Linked DNA regions of Canis lupus familiaris. The protein of the gene in region 2 purifies or fractionates together with the protein of the main gene of each other region. This does not show direct contact. Links are inferred from orthologs where the notes say so. Each region holds a gene or a part of one and is shown on either strand. Other genes may lie near its edges. The genes, in order: BTRC and USP37.

The links.
Region 1: the proteins of USP37 (region 2) and BTRC purify together in Homo sapiens (affinity purification with western blotting; 3 studies listed by BioGRID and IntAct, counting the BioPlex papers as one, with this or other methods). This does not show direct contact. The link is inferred for Canis lupus familiaris from reciprocal best matches to the Homo sapiens genes USP37 and BTRC.

What each region holds. Positions count from the first base shown.
Region 1 is NC_049249.1:14,342,674-14,346,502, reverse strand, and holds part of BTRC (F-box/WD repeat-containing protein 1A), read right to left. Parts: intron 2,865-3,829; coding exon 2,754-2,864; intron 1,290-2,753; coding exon 1,211-1,289; intron 1-1,210. UniProt on the Homo sapiens protein: Substrate recognition component of a SCF (SKP1-CUL1-F-box protein) E3 ubiquitin-protein ligase complex which mediates the ubiquitination and subsequent proteasomal degradation of target proteins. Recognizes and binds to phosphorylated target proteins.
Region 2 is NC_049258.1:25,006,225-25,010,053, forward strand, and holds part of USP37 (ubiquitin carboxyl-terminal hydrolase 37), read right to left. Parts: intron 2,392-3,829; coding exon 2,260-2,391; intron 2,142-2,259; coding exon 2,018-2,141; intron 1,353-2,017; coding exon 1,162-1,352; intron 1-1,161. UniProt on the Homo sapiens protein: Deubiquitinase that plays a role in different processes including cell cycle regulation, DNA replication or DNA damage response.

The DNA.
Region 1 (3,829 bases), on a different chromosome or scaffold from region 2:
CTGGCTCATTCACACAGTGGAATACTACTCAGCAATACAAAAGAACTAAGCACGAACACATGCAACAACATGAATGACTCTCAAATGAAGTGAATAAAGCCAAATGCAAAAAGCTACATACTGTATGACTTTATAGGACATTCATAAAATGGCAAAAATCAGAATAGTGGCTAGGGGTGTGGGAGAGGGTAGTGCTATGAAGCGGTATAATTTTTGGGGTGTTAGAAATGTTCTAGATCTCGATCAAGGTGTTTACACACTGCAAAATTCAGAAAAACACACTGAAAAAGGGTAAATTTTGCTGTATGTAAATTACACCTCATTTAGACTTAGATTAATTTTAAATGAATGAAAGTATACATTTTAAAAAACATGTCTGAAACATGCAGGTAAAGTAGGTCTGATGCTGCAACAATGAGCTTTAAATCCAATCAGGAAGACAAAGAAACATCTCTCTCTCTCTTCTCCAGAGCAGAGGCTGCCAAATGTTGAGAGTTAGGATTCAGAACACTGGGCTTCAAATGCTAGCTCTCATCTTTACCCTGAGTTGTGCTCCCTGGTGCCCCACCTAATTTTCTTTTTCCAATGGCAGCAGCTTTTAACCTTAGGCCATTTTCTCATCCGGGCCTTTGGTGAACACCATGATAAAGAATTTAGCACTTTCAAAGGTGACTTTCTTCCTTTTGAGTCACTTCTTTCCTCAAATGTCAAGATGTTTATGGCAAGGAATAAAAGAGATGGGATTCATGTTGCTGGAGGCAGCATGCCTTGAATAGGCTGCAGAGCCAGGGGGCTGACCGGGGGTTCACACAGACTCCCATGACACTTTTTGCAGGCACAGGTGTGTAGGTCCTCAGCTTCTGGACAGGTTCCAATTTGAGTAATTATGTTCTCTCTCCCTAAGTACCCCCTACTGTTTCTGGTGGATACAGAATCCTTATTCACTTCCTGTACTAAACTGTGGTGTAGAGTTGCTGTGCAGCTGTTAAACAGCTGCCACATTCCTTTCTATACATAGTCTCTAAAGCACTTTTGGATGAAAGGCGCTAAAAAAACATATTTTATTGTCATGTATTAGTTGCCTTTCCACTTAGTAGTAGGTTTCGTGAGCTTCTAACTATCAAATCCAGATCTGTATTCCATACCACATCAATGTTTCATTTCTTTCCCTTCCTGTTCCCCAACCCCCTCTAAACAGCAAGGTTCTTACCACAAGGGTCCGTAGACAGAGAGTCCCTGCAGGAGCACGGGGGTCCAAAGCAGCTACAAGATCCCACACTTTAATTTTTCTAAAGATCCAAAAGGGGACAAAAATCTTAATTAAAAGCAAAATTAAGGGACCATGGGAAAAATAGCAAAAAGTCATGGCAATAAATAGGTATGATGAATGTAATTTTTTTTTTGATGAATGTAATTTATATGATAAATGCAGCTCACAAGAATATATAAGAACTTTTTTTTGTTTTGGAGACTTGGTTTTTGCATTCATTCTTGGGTAGAGGTTATTGGTCTTAACAGGGGAAAAATGTACAGGTTTAACCTAAAAATGAGAAATAGGTTAGCTCTAACCAAGCTTAAGTGAATGGTAAAGTTATACCATACTTTGGGGCCAGGAAGAGATCTTATATATTAGACTCTTAAAGACTGATAGAAGAGATCACTTAGACCTAGAAACCTACAATTGTGAAGTATCTTCTTTCTGGTCAATTCTAAGAATGGCCCAGGTAACCTGAACCAGAGGACTAGAGCCCATTGAAATACTCTGGAGTTTATACAAATTCCCATATTTTGATTAAAATAAGAAAAGTTTAGCTCTTCCAAGAACCAAACATATGGTCATGTCTCCTCAAGGTAAATAACAGACAAAACCCAAGAAAGGTGGGTACAGATAAAAACCAGGGCAATCAGAAAATACCATGTAACTGGAGTATGTTCTCACACCCTGAACAATCTCCCACAGGGTAGAACAGTGATGGATGACTCAAAGCAGAGAAAATGGTCTGTTCCTACTGTATGAGTTGTCTTAATCACTGCCAGCTCCTAAACTAAGGTAATGTAGTAAGGTAGTTTCTAATATTTAAAAAGCTGCCAAGATGTGAACTATAGCCTTCCACTCCCTCATGTCAGGCATCCTGACAAGAAGAAATAATAAAGAGGCCTTCATAAGTAAATACACTTTTATGTGAGTTTACTATGTGCTTAGCATTGCCGGACATGGGATCCATTCACAACATGAATGGATTTTAAAACCATTGGAAATTAGACCGAAGAAAATAAAGATTACTGAACTTGTCACTAAAATGTTAAGAGAAGTGAAGACAAGAGAGCTGCGCTTTTAGGAATTACTCAAAGACATCAAATTCAAGAGCCTACCACATTATGCCCCAAAGATACTGCCTCCAATATTTCAGTTTTATTAATAAGTCATTATTTTACACACATATCCTGGCATACTGTGTTTTCCTAGTTCTTTGCTTTATAGGTGAATCAAAACAGATGAATGCATAACTAAATAACTAAACTGTTAATGAAAATCACCAGGAAACAAGTGCAATTAAATGACTGGGAAAAATATCTTAGAAAAGTAAACAAAGGAGAGGGGAATACATAGATGAGACACAAGAAATATTGTATCAGATCCTTTCTGTAAAATCTATAATCTTTTAGAGTCAGGGAAATACTGTATTTAACATCCTCCGGTAGGAGGAATCAAGATGTACATTTTGTTTTTTAAACCCTGTTAGCAAACTCACCCATCATAGGCCCCACTGACTATCCTCTTGTTATCAAATCGAATACAACGCACCAGTTCCTCGTGGCCTTCTAACACTCGTAAACATGCACCACATTCTATGTCCCATAATCTGGAAGAGAAAATTGAGTCAAGTGAATTTTCATGTATTCTTTTCTAAGCTTGGCATGTTATAATACACTTCATATGTCTTCAAAAAATTCCACAAAAATAAAATCAATCAATACTCATACCAAATGTATTGCTTTCAATGTAATTTATTTCCTTTCTGCTGTATAACTCAGACAGAAAAATGTATGATTTAAGTTAAAATGAAATATATATTTTCAAAGCACAATGCTTTATATAAGTCTGTAACCAGGGTCTCCAAGGCATAAAAAGGATGAATTCAATGTACCCAGTTGCCTGTGAAGGAAATGACCAAGAAAAGAAAAGTAATGCTTCCTGAAATCACCAGTAAGAATGAGATACATGGGGTAGCCCGGGTGGCTCAGCGGTTTAATGCCTCCTTCAGCCCAGGGCGTGACCCTGGAGACCTGGGGTCGAGTCCCACATCGGGCTCCCCGTGAGGAGCCTGCTTCTCCCTCTGCCTGTGTCTCTGTCTCTCATTCTCTCTATGTCTCTATGAATAAATAAATAAAATCTTAAAAAAAGAATGAGATACATAGTGTCAGTGATATCCTGCCCTCACAAAGTATGTCCACCTCTGTTACTAATGACACTTTCTCTTTTCACCCATTGTTCAGGACAATTTTTCTCTATAATGGAAACAAAAGCAAGTTCTCAAAAATGCTTACATGCTAATTAAAAAAACTGGGGGCACCTGGCTGGTTCAGTCAGAAGAACGTACAACTCTTGATTAATCTCAGGCTTGAGTTTGAGCCCCATGTTGGGTATAGAAATTACTTTAAAAAAATAAAATCTTAAAACTATATGCTTTTGGACCAATCCAAATGAAATGAAAATTTCCTTAGACCTAACAGTAGCTCTGTTGTTTTCTAAAGGAGCCTTTTTATCTTCTTAGTACTTTTTGAAGGAAGGGAAAGGATTGATAAATCTTCCAAATTCTATTCATAT
Region 2 (3,829 bases):
GAAGAAAAAGATTACTCACAAAATCAGGTCTCCCAAATGTCACAAAGTAATATAGCACATGATGAGACAGTGTATGTAAGATATTAAGGGGGAAAGGCTATATGTGATTCAATAATTCTGTATTAACTCATGTGAAAGCCACAAAAATAATTCTTAAACAGAAGAATTCCATTCTAAGAAAAACATTTTCAGATATGTAGTACAATAACTGAAAAATTAATCAAAACAGATCCTTTTGATGTGAAATGCATGGTATAGGGACGCCCGGGTAGCTGAGCGGTTGAGCATCTATGCCTTTGGCTCAGGGTGTGATCCTGGTCCTGGGATCGGGTCCCATATCAGGTTCCCCGCAGGGAGCCTGCTTCTCTCTCTGCCTATGTCTCTGCCTCTGTGTCTCTCATGAATAAATAAAAAAAATCTTTTAAAAAAAAAAAGAAGAAATGCATGGTATAAAAGTCTTGGTAATGAGCATGGAAATTAACTAAATATAGAAAGTCCAAATAATCAATATAAACATTAATAAATTAAAAAGGATTGCAAAAGTTAAAAACAAATTTTGATCTTGTAAAAAAAACCCCATTTTTAATAAAAACAATTTGATTTAATAAAATAAGCAACAGGAGCAGAGTCTTTTCAGGGAAAAAGTATTCCCAAAGTACTCATTATTCCACACAGAGATTAAAAGAAAAAAAAACTCATAAGAACAAACTTATAGATCAAAATTTAGTGTTTAGTCAGCACTAAAGTACATGAGAGGGATCCCTGGGTGGCGCAGCGGTTTAGCGCCTGCCTTTGGCTCAGGGCGCGATCCTGGAGACCCGGGATCGAATCCCACGTCGGGCTCCCGGTGCATGGAGCCTGCTTCTCCCTCTGCCTGTGCCTCTGCCTCTCTCTCTCTCTCTGTGACTATCATAAATAAATAAAAATTAAAAAAAAAAATAAAGTACATGAGAAAACAGTCAAGTTTTCCTTAGTTCTCACCCTATAAAACATTTTTATAGAAGATGAGGACACTGAAAGGAGACGTTTGGTAGAACCTATGCATTTATTGTGTCCTTACAACACAAAAAAGGAAGATAAGAACTAAAACCTTCTAGAAAAATTTTAATCACATACTATAAAGAATTAAAAGGGCAAAGAGCTCTCTTAGAGTCTACTTACGCTTTACAGATGATGGAGTGCTGAACTTCAAACTCCAAGTTAGTAATAACAGGGCAAGTGTACACCCTGGTGGCTGAAATATCTGGTGAATTTTCTTCTCCAGGAACAGGTTCAGTCTTCCAAGTTTTATTTAACTTCTCCATGTCCTCTTTCAGCTGGTCTAAGCACTGACTTAAAAATTCATGAGCATCCTAAGAAAGCACAATATCTTTAATCATAAGATCAAAATCCTTCTGTCACAAGAATAGCTTCCAAACACTGTGATTTATACAACTATAGCTCTTGGAGGTCAGCACCATATGTGAAAAAGGTCAGATTTACTCTAGCCATTAGGGGGAACATATTTGTGAATAAGAACAAATGACACTGCAACTGATGAATCACTAAATTCTACCTCTAAAGCTAATATGCGCTATATTATTGTACAGTGTTGTATGCTGTATTACACATATAACATATAGTGTTATTAATACATACAACACTATAAGTTAACTAAATTGAATTTAAATAAAAATTAAAAAAAAAAACAATGACGGATTTTATATTTTTAACCACCAATTGGATTGGCATGACTGAATAAATCAATCAGCCCTTTAAGATAAAGTATTTTTTCTAAAATAGCCTTTGTAAAAGCTAAAATAGCCCAAGTTCCTATAATGGCAAATGGTATCCAAATTATTAAAATATGATAAAACACACAGAAGAGTCATATTAAATCTTACTATAAGTCCTTAGGTTTTTCAACTTGTGATGAACACATGTACATAAATCTCATTTTAAAGTAGAAATTAGATAATACATTAAAATCATTTAATTTCCCTTATCTCTAAAGTGTTTAAAAACAATTAGTACTCACATTCTGCATATAACCAGAGAATCTTTCTGCTGTAGCTGAAATGGCATTTTTAACCTTCTTGAGTAAATCTTTTTTGGTCTCTGAATTACAAATATCTTTCTTAACAAGCAAGTGTGCAAAGCGTCTGTTAAAACAAGAAAGTTTAGTGATGTTTTACATAAGTTTGGTTAGCATGATATTTTAAAGACTGTTAACAATAGCACATAAGGTAAAAGGTTTCTTAGTAAGAATTTAACAATTACCTGATAAGAGCATTGAGGGGAATTTTCTTCCATGGGATACCTTGCTTAAGCAAGTCATTTGCAAATGATTGGAGTGAAAACAGAGATTGTAAAATAGCATTCATATAGCAGGTATTTCCCAAATTGGAGAAGCTGAAAATGAAAAAAAAAAATAGTACTTTTGAAGACTGAAGTTCCTGACATATGTTCATTAAAATAGGGAATCACCAGTATAACACACATCAGAATCACATGGAGGACTTATTAGAATATGTATTGCTGGGTCCCTGGGCCCCAACTACAGTTTCTGACTTAGAAACCGTAGGTCTAGAAAGAGACGGTGCAAAACTGCATTTCTAACATGATTTCAGCTGATGTTGATTCTGTTGGTCTGGGGACTATACTTTGAATACCACTGCATTATAACAAGGAAAATTATACATTTTCAAAGGAATGCTAAAAAGAACTGGGGACTTATCCAAAGAGCTATTTGTTCTTATTTATAATTTTAATTTTTCCATTGAGATATAGCTTACTTATTTCTGTTTAGTGTATGCCCAGAGTGGAACTGCTGGGTCATAGGATATATGTGTTTAGACTTAATGGGTATTGCCAAACACTTTCCTAAAGCACATATTTAAAAAAATTTTTTTATTAGAAAACATTCCCAAACTCTCAAGAACAGTTGCACAAGAATACTCCTTATCCCTATTCACCAATTGTTAATCTTTTGTACTATATGCTTTACCATTTGGTGCATCTCTGTATTTCTCCTGAACCATGCGAGAGTAAGTTGTATAAATAACCCTTTAGCCCTAAATACTTCAGTGTGTATTTCACAAGAACAAGAAGATTCTCTTATATAATGAGTTACCAGCATTATAAAATTTAATGCTGACATACTCTTTATCTAACATACTTTAATCCAATTTTGTCAATTGATTCAATAATGTTCTTCATAGCATACACACTCGTGCTTAAGCACAAGATTCAATCCAGAATAGCATAATGCATTTAGTTGTTGTTGTTGTTGTTTTTTAATCTGGAATACATCTTCAGCTTTCTCTTTTGAGACACTGCCATTTCTGAAGAATACAACCTCCCTTACCCCCACAACTATTTTTTAATGGACTGTTCCTCATGTTGGGTTTGCTATTTCTTCATGATGAGATTCAGTCCAGGCTGGAAAAGCAGAGTGACACCTAGTGATACTGTGTCCTTCCAAGGGTATCACATTCAGAGGTACATGATATTCTTGTGCTAATCACTGGTGATGTCAATTTTGAATACCTTGGAGAATTTACACATCAGACTATGAGAAAGTATCAGGGTCTGGGGTTATCCTACTGCCATAAACAACGAAAAAAATGGATAAAATATTGAATAGGCAGTGCAAATCTGTGATCCTTAAGAGAAGGGAAACAAACAGTGTGAATCCTACCATTACAGAGGGTTTCTGGCTACAGGCAATTTGTAAACTGCAGTCCAGGGAGGAGTAGTCAAACAGAGCCCAGAAATCATGCTGAGTTGAAAGAAACTGGAGTTTGATAGACTGAGGTCGCTAAAATTTCTGGGACAGAGTACCTGAGAG